Neodiprion lecontei: one gene and its partner. The protein of the gene in region 2 purifies or fractionates together with the protein of the main gene of each other region. This does not show direct contact. Links are inferred from orthologs where the notes say so. Each region holds a gene or a part of one and is shown on either strand. Other genes may lie near its edges. The genes, in order: mRNA-decapping enzyme 1A and enhancer of mRNA-decapping protein 4.

The links.
Region 1: the proteins of enhancer of mRNA-decapping protein 4 (region 2) and mRNA-decapping enzyme 1A purify together in Drosophila melanogaster (affinity purification with western blotting; 4 studies listed by BioGRID). This does not show direct contact. The link is inferred for Neodiprion lecontei from reciprocal best matches to the Drosophila melanogaster genes Ge-1 and DCP1.

Annotation. Positions count from the first base shown.
Region 1 is NC_060261.1:8,405,983-8,411,192, forward strand, and holds mRNA-decapping enzyme 1A, read right to left. Parts: upstream 3,489-5,210; 5' UTR 3,314-3,488; coding exon 3,105-3,313; intron 2,869-3,104; coding exon 2,457-2,868; intron 1,846-2,456; coding exon 1,357-1,845; intron 1,084-1,356; coding exon 856-1,083; 3' UTR 542-855; downstream 1-541. Other genes in the region: CTD nuclear envelope phosphatase 1 homolog, read left to right, coding at 4,793-4,891.
Region 2 is NC_060261.1:32,387,106-32,394,860, forward strand, and holds enhancer of mRNA-decapping protein 4, read right to left. Parts: upstream 5,780-7,755; 5' UTR 5,597-5,779; coding exon 5,580-5,596; intron 5,426-5,579; coding exon 5,351-5,425; intron 5,191-5,350; coding exon 4,985-5,190; intron 4,921-4,984; coding exon 4,535-4,920; intron 4,437-4,534; coding exon 4,159-4,436; intron 4,092-4,158; coding exon 2,455-4,091; intron 2,334-2,454; coding exon 2,126-2,333; intron 2,046-2,125; coding exon 1,749-2,045; intron 1,625-1,748; coding exon 1,435-1,624; 3' UTR 622-1,434; downstream 1-621. UniProt on the Drosophila melanogaster protein: In the process of mRNA degradation, seems to play a role in mRNA decapping. Required for silencing a subset of endogenous miRNA targets.

The DNA of each region.
Region 1 (5,210 bases), about 24 Mb from region 2:
TAATATTGTATAATTATTTTAACTTGATAATAAATAATAATAATGATAATGATAATACGAATATTAATTCAAATGATACGCGATTTTATACACATATAATGAGATGTATCGCCTTGCGCAGGGCGATTATACAGAGTATAAAAAAATAATACAAATAAAATAACTGAACATTTTTTGCTCATTTCATTTTATTCATTTCTTCCTTCAATGCCTGTTACATACACCTTTTTTGCCACTCGTATTACAGAAAGGGTGAGTCATTACTCGATAAAATAGGAATCCCATTCATCTTGTTTGAACATTGTTTCATTTATTTTGCATTTTTAATGTATAACCATAGTAGACACTATGTAGTTTTAATATGATCAAATTGCCATCACAGATAAAAATCTTTTGGCGGGACGTGCATTATATAGCTTTACAAGGCTTTCATAAATTGTCACAACAACCTTGTAGTAGTTTTATACTGCGCAGCGAGATACGCAAAAACACAGACAAAACTGCAATACTTGACAAGAAAACTTTCTTGCATGGTGCAACATCTCAAAGAAAATATTTTGTCTTACAAAAATACTGTCCAGGGTTTTTTCTTGCAATTATTTACTTCATATTTAACTTTTTTCTTATTTTTTTTTTTTTTAATCATTACCTTTTCACTCTCAACCTAAAACTCACTCGAGAGTTTTGTCAAAATCACGAATTTCGAACATTACATACCAATTCCCATCAATTATTACACACATGTGTGTTGTAGGAATAGTTTTAGTTTAGTTCTATCGATCAGTCGGTGTATAATATAACCGTCCATCACATCCTGCATGACGATTCTGGTTAAATGTGGTCCGAATAATGAACCTAAGATAGTATCTCACCAAAAGATTTCACGTAAGCCTCATGAAGTTTGTTGACAAAGTCTGGATCGCTCCTCAGAAGGTAATTAAAAGCCTGCAATAACTGATTCCTTGTCAGCGGCTCAACCGGTCTTGTCAATGGATCTGGGGGACTAGGGGCAGCAAACATAACAGGTGGCATCAATGCTGGGCCAGAACCGACTGCTGAACAGCTCGACGATTCTACAGATGCCTGCAAGAAATATCATGCAATGTAATCATTTGATACCTCTGCATCAACAAAATTCAGCACACAAATATCGTCTCCTGTTACGCAAAGCACTGCTAAGTATATGGTTTGTAGACAAATTTTGGAATTTTATATTATTCAAGTTTTGCCAGTAATATCCGATGACATAGAATTACAAAGTTTTACGTAATTGGATATATATAACTTTTCAGATTTTAAGAATCCCACAATTTTCGTGTTATGTTTCGAATTGGCTGAGAAGCTCTATTTACTAACCGTAGGTCCAGTAGCATGGGCAAATAAGGATGCAAGTGAATTTGCATTAGGAATGGATGATTGTTGATGATTATTTAACGTGGTGTTAGTCGGAGACTGTATCCTGAGAAACCCTGAAGTACTATTTGTATCAGTTGAATTGGCATTTGTCAATGGTGGCTGTTCTCGTGGTACAGCTGTTGATACAGTTGTACCCCCAGATTCGAGATTGGTCGTAGTTATGCGATTTCGCCTTTTAGATCTGTTCACTATATTTCCTGATACGTTGTTTGGCTGAATAGTTGACGCTGACTGAGATTGAGAATGAGATGGAGGTCCTGGCTGGGGCGTTGTAGATCGTTGTTGTTTTTCAATATGTTCAAGAGTATGTGCGGCTGGATTTGACATCAGACGCGCCAACAATGGCTTAGTCTCTGGTGTTACAGGTCCTGTAGGACCAGGGTTGCCTGTTGGAGGTTGATCACCCGCCTTGAATTGGCCGGGGTTTACCTAATTGTTGAGAAAAAGGCGTGATGATGTGATATTTCCCACTTTCTGTCCACCAGTGTAAACTTGATCTAAGTATTAAAATCGTTGTTAGTCCCCAATATTGTAATGTGTTTACTAGGGCTGTGCATTTTCCCAAAATCTCAGGAAAAAAGTTCAGGTTCGGGATGGGTTTGTATCAGGTCATGTTTTTTAGAGATTCCGGAAGTGTCGGGAAATCTAAAATTTTTGGGAAACCCGTAATCTTTGTAAAGCCAGAAATATTTGAGAAGCCCGAGACGCGGGTAACCTAACTTACTTAAAACTCACAGTATCGATTAAATATTAAATAAATACTAATAGTAAATATTATAATTATATGAAATCAATATTTTCAGTAAAAAGTGTCTCAACATTCATCGGGAGATCCGGGAATCCCAAAAATTTTGACTAAACTGATATTTTCGTGAATCCCAGAGTTTTTGGGAATTCCCGGATTAGCGGTAATTCTAAAGTTTTTGAGAATTTACAGATTTCTGGGAATGCTGAAAATTTCGGGCACCCAACCCAATACTAATAGTTTTTTTCCGACCTGATCCGAAGAATTATGATACCCGCACAGCCCTAAGGTTTACCTTAGCCTTGGCAAAGAAGTCCATAACGCTTTGCGAAGGAACATCAGGTCCGAGAGGTGCTGATAAAGGACCTGTCATGTTTTCCAACAATAAGTTATTCCCTGGAGATTTTGGCCCTCCCCTGTTAGTGTTGAAGTCTTCTTGGGCCTTACTCAGCATGCTGAATATATCGACACTGTTCACACTTGGCCCTGAATTTTTCTTAGTCTTAACCTTATTAGTAGATTTTCGCATCTGCTCAGAATCCTTAACAAGTTTGTTAAGCATAGCCGCAATGCGAACGCATTCTTCCTTTTCGTAAAACCAGATTCCAAATATATTGCAGCTTGAATTTCTGTATAAAAGAAAAGGCTCCTGCAGCTGTAAGTCGAGCCCTTGCGTTACAGGTTCCATCAAATTATTGGTATTCAGCCTGCAAGAAAGAAAAATTTTATAGTACGGTGGTAAGTTTTGAAAATTGAAGAAAAAAAACAAATGTCTTTCGTTAAAAGTAGAAGCGTTTTGGGACAATGTGTGGGACATGTTCAAAAAACACGTCCTCGTAATACGAAGGAGAAAATTTAGGTCTCAATATTTTGCCGCTAATTTTTTTTTGTCAGTCAGAAACGATTTCTGAATGATTGCGATGCTTAATGTTAGCGTTTTTACCGATTCATGATCAACACACTGTTGTAGGGTTCCCCGTTTCGTGAATATACGAACAAGGCACCCTCGACGTCGGTTTTTTCCCACTCGTTGTTCTCGGCATTGAATGTGTACAGGGCTACATGGGTCGCAGTCTCGAGAATATCCTTAACGTACGGGTCGACGCGTTTCAATGCAGCAACATTCATTTTCAACTCTGTCAAATCGGCCATCGTGCTCAAAGACCGGCTAATCGACCGGCTAATAAGCTCCAATAAAAGACACAACGACGTACTTAAAAGCACAAAGATACGAAGCACGAACTACAGCGTTCCCGCAATCTCGCAATATTTTGAAACAACGCAAGCAGCTGCTTCTCGGTTGGATGCCATACTGAATTTTAGTACGGCGTTCGTAAAACATCGCACCGATCTCTAAGCAACTGCCGCGTGTTGTTTCAAGAACACGCAATGGCATTGGCGGTACCGGATTGGTTCGCAAATATATACGAAAAATAATTAAAAATAAGATTAGAATTACAAACCTTGTTTTTTATTAAAATATTAGCCGTTGACGTGATTGGTTGGAAATTTTCGATCCAGTGCGGATACCCAGATTCAGCAATTCGATGGAGATTAAGCAGTAGAATGTAGATAATCTTTTGCAGTTAATTTTGAACTTACTAATCTGGTCAATTGTTTGTTCACACTGCAATAATATCATTTGTTAATGTCTGTGATTTGTTCAGTTTCGAACCGTCGAGTGACACTTCGCTATGATAAATATGCTTTGCATTATCGACAGATTTGGTGTTACTAAATGCCTAAATACAACAAAGTATTGTTCGCTTAACGATATGCAATTACTATCCGGCAACCACGACACTTAATTCTAAAACTTATTTCGTTTCAGAGGGCGCTACGAAATGGGAGACCTCGGACATGAAAAACGCGAGCGTGTGCATTTTTTGCCGGCACTACCACTGGGCACTACAGAACTCGACTGTTAGTAGTTACATACGCTGCATGTCTAAACTACTTCTACAGAAATCCACGAGAGTGGGCGCCTCGATACTTCGAGATTCGGAATCACCCTAGAATCACTAGCTTGTATAATTTCACGAACGAGAAAACGTGGAAACAGAAATTGTGACAATCCGGCGGCTGTTGCCCGCTGTGCCCGACAGTGCCCGCGGGGTATACCAAACATATCACATGTTCATAGAAAAATGCCTGCGTTCATAAAACCTAACATGTATAACTAAATGACTAATAATTTTACGATCTATCCGAAAGGGAAGAACATGCAATAAAAAATAAGTGCATAGCGTGCCGAATTCGTAAACTGAAAAGTGTGATATTCGTTTTGACAGAAAACGCGCATAGTTCGTGCGCACGATTAAATTGGGTCGATGTGCGAAAGATGGCGGCCACTGCATGGTGTGTGTGATAAGATTATAGCAGTTAATAATCTTGAAACAGTGTCGAATAGTTAGTAGTAACATAATCAAGGATGCGAAAATGTGATTAATAAAATTGTGTATCGTACGATCGTGTGTAAATATTGCATATATGTATCGTAACAAAGATATCATCGTTTGTTTACGAGAGGGCTTGTGTAACACCGCGATTGAAACCGTGTGAAGGGGTAAAGAAACAGACTTCTAGGTATCGAGTGTATAATTTTGAGTTTAGGTTGTTCATACTAAAGACATGCTGAAGCAATTGCAAATGGGGATGAGAGCGTTCCTCCTGATGGCCTCCCGGGTATGGACCTGCGTCTGCTTTCTCCTAAAGAAGCAGGTTAGAGCCGTAAGTAGGTGTAGCGCACCTAAGCTAAGGCGAATCGTGCGCGAGCGCGGCCCATACAACCTTATTCTCCCGAAACCGATCGACGATCTACAATTCTCGACATATGCACTCTTATTTCGATGAAAAATGTGACTGAAATCATATATTTCTCAACAAGCCTCATGTCATCACATAACGATGTAACGTTCCTTGCATTATTGCAACCTTGTCAGACTGTTAATTTCAAGTTCCTTCCCCTGTTTTCTTCTTTTTTTTTCTCATTTATTCCCACTCCTTTACTTTCGATTTCATGAGATTATTACATAAACTTTTTCTCTCT
Region 2 (7,755 bases):
AATAAAATTTCAACTCACATGTACGAAATGAAATTTATTATCTAATATTTATAATAGATTTACATTTAATAAGAATAAAGTATTTAGCTCTGACTAAACTGTCATAATTTTTTTTCTGACCTTATACAAGTAATAGTTTTTTGGGCAGTTATCTCGTTAATAGTTAGGAATTAGAGATTAATTTTATGTAAGTAAATTATATGATATTAAATGACAATAACGCGTTTGGAAGGTATTGGATTCATCCTTTTCTTAAATTCTACCATCGACTACAACGCATTGCAGTTAACGTTCCAGGTAATATTATTATTCAATTAACATTATTGCACTGGAATATCTGCACCATATATAGTGATTTAATCATAGTATTGAATAGTGTGAAAGATTCGTATTTTGATGCTTAAATCTACCTAGAATGAGAAATATTCTACAGAAACGCAAATCAAATTAAATAAGCAGTAGAACAATAGCGATATCTGGATGATAAAGAAAAGAAAAATTAGTTCGAACAAAATAATATTTCGCTTTCACGTAAACATAAGATGAGCGATTTTTATTGCTAAAGACAGTGTGAATAACTGATGTGTAGTGTACTATTCATTCATATTTTTTGGAAACAAATAAGAATGAAATAATTGAAAGTGGTGGAAAAAGATTCGGGTTTGTGGTCGCTGTGTTAAAAAATGAATTTATAATTTTAACGATAAAGTCAAAAATTGCACAGTTCAGACAACATATTTTAATTCAATTGAATTTTGAGATAATTGTAAAACCAAGTTGCAGATTGCGTAAAACTATTTAGATTTATTGTGTCGGACATATGAACTGAATATTAGTAATACCAATTCTTTACTGGCCTTTTTTGAGAGTAACTAATGTGTTACTTAGATGATGTTCAAAGATCTGCAATCATCAAAATTGGAACAAGTATTCCAAGTAAATATTTAACGAATACACTGTTACGTGAGTCTTCCATCGATAAAATTTATTCGAGACAATCAGAATGTAATAGAGCAGGTATTGCTTTTATTAAATAGTGAATAAATTTATAGGAATTTTAACAAAAAATGACAAAAAAGAAAAAAAGAACGCTGTGAGCTTTTCATTGGCGTCCACAATATAATATTTTTTTTCTTCTACTCATGACATCCCAGTATGAATACTGTTTAAAAGTTAACTACTGCGGAATTTGACGAACCATACCAGTGTGCACTAACTGCAGTTTCCAGAGTTGATTGTAATTTTTTACGAGTAAAAACTAGTGGAACTACCCTTAGTACGCACTGAAAGCAGTAGATCAAATCCGCCATGTTTGCAGTCTTTGATGTGCTGTTTGCTCCAACTAGATTCGTTACTTTCAAACACGCACAAGGTCACCTCGGTCTTGTATCTTAAGTTACAAACCTAAACTAACTTTTGTTGTTCCAAATCATATCATAGGCTTTGACCTCTTATGGCCTTAGCGGCCATAGCAAGCATTTTCATCTGCTTAGCAGATCTGTGGATTGGATTAGCTGTGATGAAGGCTGTCAATTGACTTTGTAGAGCCATAAGGACGGTTCCCATGTGCTCGTGAGTTACTGGGTCATCTGGATTTAGGTTCATAACAGCTTCTTCTAACCACCTGAAATTGAGGTAGAAAAATTTATGGTTTGATCTTTTACGCATAACAGAATATATAGGTACTGTGATCCAAACACCAGATATCGCAAAACAATATGCATAGAGATAAAGACGAGAGTGCCCACCTATATTTTAATTCAGTTTGTTGTCCTAGATCAGCTGAAAGTTGTTGTATTAAAGACAGCAGAACGGGCTGCTGAAGTAGACAGCGTGGGCCACCTGACCCCAGGCCTGGAGGGGGAGAAAAGACACGGCTTGGTTCGGTACGTTGACAGACGAGAACAACGAGATTCAAGTCACTAGCACTCAATGCCTGCTGAAAAGCAGCATTCAGCTGGCCTCTTTGTAGAAGATTCAGAACTCTTGCTTGAGCATCAGCACCAATTGGGCTAGCTTGAAGACCCGGAGTTGTTGCGCGAGATCTGAAAATAATTTCAGTTTGTCAAGATTATATGGTATACAATTAAATCATTAAGATTCTCAAGAAAATACTAGAGTCTACCTTGCTCCAGATATTTCTGTTAGATGTTGACTCAAATTCTCCCTGATTGTGTCGCGAACTACCCTTGTCGTTCCTTCCTGCATAACCCTGAGTCCCTTAGAAAGTTCGTTTTGTAACTCCTGACGAACGGTTGCCGCCAGGGCTTCACTCTGCTGTTCGTTTCTCCGTTGCCGTTGTTTATCTGCCATCGAATCTATGTTTTGAATGTCTTTAACAAAAGAGAATATAATACATCAAGAATTCACACATTAATGAACAACTTTCCAGGACAGTAATTTTGATTGCAACAGCAATCGTAATATATATAAATTGAAGGATTTTCTACTTACATTCACGGGTCCCCCGAGAAAACGCGTCTTGAACTTGTTTGAACATAGTCTGGCACGCTCTTTCCATTCCTGGTAACAATACCGTTGTGAAAGCTTCCTTAAAAACGGCCTCAAGTACAGGTTTCGCTGCACTTGCTGCAGTAAGGGCGAGAGTGTCACGTATATGAGCACCACTTACTAGCTGCGTGAGATTTTCTTTCATAAGGTCATCCATTCGTGATATATCTAAGCGCAGCTGATGCCTCAAGGGATCAAGTGCACCGTCGACTATTTTTGGTAAATTTTTCTCTATCTTATCCGTCACTGCACTTTCCAAAGAACAAAGTATCTCCTGCTGGCGTGATAGCTGAACAAGCAGTGTTTGTTCCAAGGATGTATTTTGCTGCTGAGTCGCTCTGGCCATCACAGATTCAACACGAGCAGTTACCGGTGTATCTTGTTGCAACCTGGTTACTTCAGATCTCAACTCTCTCAGCTCCTGGCGCTGGTCTTCGACTGTTTTCAGAATAGAATCAAGTTTGGTTGTTAGAGCAATTATACTTCCAGTATCAGGTATACACCAGTTAGTTTCTTCAGGCTGGTCAGATTCAACACTAGCTTCGGGAAGATCATTCTTTGTTAATTTTGTTGGCAGTTCTGCATCCTCGTCCTCCACAAATTCTTCAGGTTCTTCTATGGCTCGAACATCTTTTAGTAGGCCAATCGGAATACCAGGCCAAATCTCTGCCACAGCAGTTTCAGAATCTGGTTTGGCTTCAGGCTCGGTTTCTGGTGCTCCCAGTGAGAATATTTCCCTTACTTCCCTTGAAGGGCTGCTTCCTCCACTCGCCTGCGCTTGCTCTCCAAGTTCACTTGTCGCTAATGGTGGCTCGGTTGAATTTAATGCTTGCACAGCTTGAGCTAGTGAGGGACTAGCTGACAAGACAGCCCCCAGATCAGGGCTTGCAGAATTTGAATCAATATTATTTCCCTCTTTTTTTGCTGGGGAGCTGAAAGCATCAGGCGTCATCAAATTCAGACCTGTACTATGATTGGATGCTGCCTCGATTGCCGCACCAACCGTTAGCTCTTCGTCCCCATTTTCCTCAATGTTTCCGTTTTGGTTCATAGCCGCAATACCGGGAATATCTTCCATGTAGTGTAACGAATCGTGACTCAAAGTGTCCATAAGACAGTGACCGTCGGACTGAGTTACAGGTCTAAAGGCAATGTGGCATTCCTGCAAAGACTTTGGTTGTACGAGATACATCCTAACTACGAGCTGATCCTCCGTTTCGTCTTCGAGAGGGCATAAATCCTCAAGGGATTCCCCAGTAGGTCGAACTCTGCGCTGTCCAGCGTCAACGATTCCAAAACTTAGGATTGGATATGGCAATAAGAATTCGGAAATTGTATTCACACAGGCTAAGGCATCCGAACTATCTTTAGCCAGGCTCAACACATACAGAACTTTGTTGTATATGTCAGAAAGAAGAAGATAGCCTGCACTTAAATCCAAACCTGCTTTCAAGACGGGTGTTTTTCCATTTAATGGTGCAAACTTTATAGTTTGCAAACATGTCCAAGACTCACAGGACCAGACTTTTAACTCTGAATTATTATCGCAGCCAGTTACAGCAAACCTCCAGAATTGCGCTCTATAAGGAGGAAGAATTAGCAAATGAAAACCATGAAATCAAGAAGCAATGAAAAATAATTGCTTACTCTGGCTGATAGCTTTTGTGGTCGTCTAGAAAAAATAGTGATGAAATTGGTCGACCGCCATGGGGTTTCCACTGATGCAGACATCGTGGTTGTTGCTGTGCACCTTGATGAGTACTGCTATTATGCATATATACTTGAAAAAACTTGACTTCTCCATCCAGACTGGCTGTAGCAAGAGCAGTACCATCGGGACTAAATGTGGCCTCAACTATTGTGCCAGAGTGTTGATTGATCTCCATCATACCGCCCCATCCATCATTCTGTGCCACGTCAGAGATCTGCTCACATATGTAAGGAATGAATATAGCGTATTTGTAATCAATACATAGCGCTAAATTAAGAAGAGAAATAACTTGAAAAAAAATTATTCCATTACCTTTATTGGGCCAGATCCAAGCCTGGCTGCAACTGCAGCAACAGACCAAAGTTCAGCTTTAGATCCACGTGTTAAGACTAAGAGCTTGGATACCTCGTCGCCCTCAGCCGGTTCGTCTTCAGGGATATAAGGGCACCATATGACACGGTGACTAGTTGGTGAAGCATCATCTGCATCAACTTGTAGAACGAGGTTGCAAACGAGTTTTAGATGTGTAGATTCTATGGAATATACGAACAAGCTACCAGAGTGATCAACACACGCCAATATCGCGTTACTGATATGAGCAAAAGCAAGATCTTGAATAGCACCACGCATTCCTCTCAACAACGCTCGCTGCTCCCTCTCCTTGTAAACGACACGAACAACTCCTCCGCCTGTTCCAGCTGAAAATTTGCAGTGTATAGTGCAATTGCGCTCAATTCAGCAAATTAAACAGTAAGTACCTACCCTTGATTCCATATGCAAGATATTTGCCTGACATATGAACTGCAAGTAATTGTCCCGTATAAAATCGTAGTTCCCATGTAAAATCGACAATGTTTTTTAGCTTCACTTTGGAACTTCCGTGATCATGCCCTCCGGGCGATGGGACAATCGTCACATCAGTACTGAATAGTTCTACAGAGTGCTGGTCTTCCTGCCCATTGAATTCCCTGAAGAATTGCAATGTAGATTGTAGTTGATAGCGATTAAGGTTTTTGAAGAGCTTGAACTATTTTTCACGTGTAGAAGGAGTTTAAATTAGGATAAGTAAGAGTCGAGCGAAAGTTTAGAGATGGGAAGAGAGAGGTGAGAAAAAAAAGAGCTACTTACACAGTTTGCGGATATTGATACGGCCTGACACTTTCATCAGTCGGCTTAATCATTTTCCCTGTCATCGATGAATCACTGAAAATACCGTAAAGTATCGTTAATGATACAAATATTTTGCAATTTTATACTTCCATTTTATGACCACCGATATTACGGGATTCTAACCCCAACCGGTGACACGCTACGAATATGAATGCCGAGTGTCGTGTTGCTTGATAAGTGTACTCACCCGTTGCACATATGCATATATGAAGGTAAGATGATACTTATTTATGCTATATATGTATATTTACGTATGTTCACGACTCAGTATTAATCAAGTTAACATTCCGCGTAACGCTTTACCAATCTTACTAAAAAACTCAAGATTTTGGTAAACCGGGTAAATGGATCAGAAACGTCAGGGATTCCATACTTGTCATATAGATTACCGATTTTAATGCCATCTCCCGGTTATATTACGAACTTTAAAACGCCGTTCACTAGTTTTCGCTCTCCTTCATTCGCGAAATGCAAATATAACGTCCGAGTCTCCACTCGTTGACCGAAGACTATAAAGACGGATACCCCTGGGTACATTTTTGTGACCACGTTTCGGCGGGTAAGTGGGCCCACGTGGGCCTGTAGCGGGATTCTGTAACTCTCTACCGACAATTATCGCTATCGCTAGCTAGCGACAGTTGTCGCTTGCATCGACAATGATAGCCAAACGACGTAGGGCGTGTTCGGAAATTGACTGAAAGTACTGTCAGTGCTGAAAATGGTATAGTCCAAGTGACGTATACTGTAGATTTTCAGTACTGACAGTACTTTCAGTCAATTTCCGAACACAGCCATAGGGTGATTCTATAACTTAGGCGTAACGATATTCATCGATGCAAAACTAGTCACAGAGGCATCGATAAATGTCGATAGATTTTCGGCAAATTTGACAACGTTGCAGATATTATCACTAAAAATCTGGTAACTTCGGATAGATTATTTGTGAACGCAAACAAAATCGTCTATTGTTCTGTATCTTTGCCGTGATCTTTCCTCGCGTTGTACGAAAAAACTTTTCTCCGATTAATCATAAATGGAAAAAAATGGAACAGTGCAAGTATACTAGCATAGGAGGCTTCTACTCTATCGCCTCTACCTAACGGGCTCGCACCGACATTCGTAGCAACCAAAGTAGTGTCGGTATGAAAGCTTCAGATTGAGTTGCTACAAAGTGAGTACCTACGACTACTTGACTGCGCCTTAGAAATGTCGATGAGTTCGATCATCCCCGTGAGAAGACGCGTAACCGCGTCCACCGCCAACCACCGCAACAACCTCCTCTCACCTCCGACCACCTTCGTCCTCCTCCACCTCGTCGCCGTCCTGCTCCTCCTCGACCGCTTGGTTATTCTCCTCGACCACCGTCGATCACTTCAAACCACCACCAAATACTTCCTACCTCCTCCAATTACCTCCAAACACCTCCTACCATCTCCGTCCACCTTCTACGACTTCCTACGACCCTCTACTACCTCCAACCACCTTCTACCAGCTCCTACCACCTACCATTTCCGAACACCTGTAACCACCTCCGACCACCTTCGCTCTCCCCGTCCTCCTGCTCAATACGGTTTTCAATTGGGGAAAAGTACACAAGACGCAATTCACGAACTAAACAAAGAAATTCACGAAGCAACAGACAACGGAGAAAAATGTATAGCAATATTCCTAGATCTTTCTAAGGCGTTTGACACGATCCCGCACAGCCTGCTAAATACACTAGAGAGAAGAGGTATCCGAGGTAAAGCACAAAGCTGGTTTAACTCATATCTTCGAGGTAGAAAATAAAAGTGACAATACGTAAAACCTACAGCGAACAACTCCAAGTAACGTGCGGCATTCCCCAAGGAACCATCCTATCATCGCTGCTGTTTACACTTTACTACGACGATAAACTAAGGCTACATACACAATCCAAAATAATATCATACGCAGACGACACAGCACTGATATCAAGAGCAAAAACATGGGAGGAAGTATATTTAATGGCAACGCAAGATATCAACAAGATCCACAAACACCTCAATGAACGACTTCTATCTCTCAATACAGAGAAGACAACCTACATGGCATATAGATCCAAGAAATCGGAAAAACAAGATTTAAAGTACAAAAAGATTCAGCTACACAAATGCGCACGAGCGAACTCCAACTGTCAATGTGACTCAATAATCATAGTCAAAGAACAAAAATATCTGGGAGTACTCATGGACGACAAGGTGAAATGGAATGCACACACATCACAGACCGTAAAAAAACTTAGAGAACTATTCCACCCACTGATAAACATGACTCAAATACTGAACTAGAACACGAAGAAAGAAATCTACCATGAACTTGTGTATTCCATAATACAATACGGT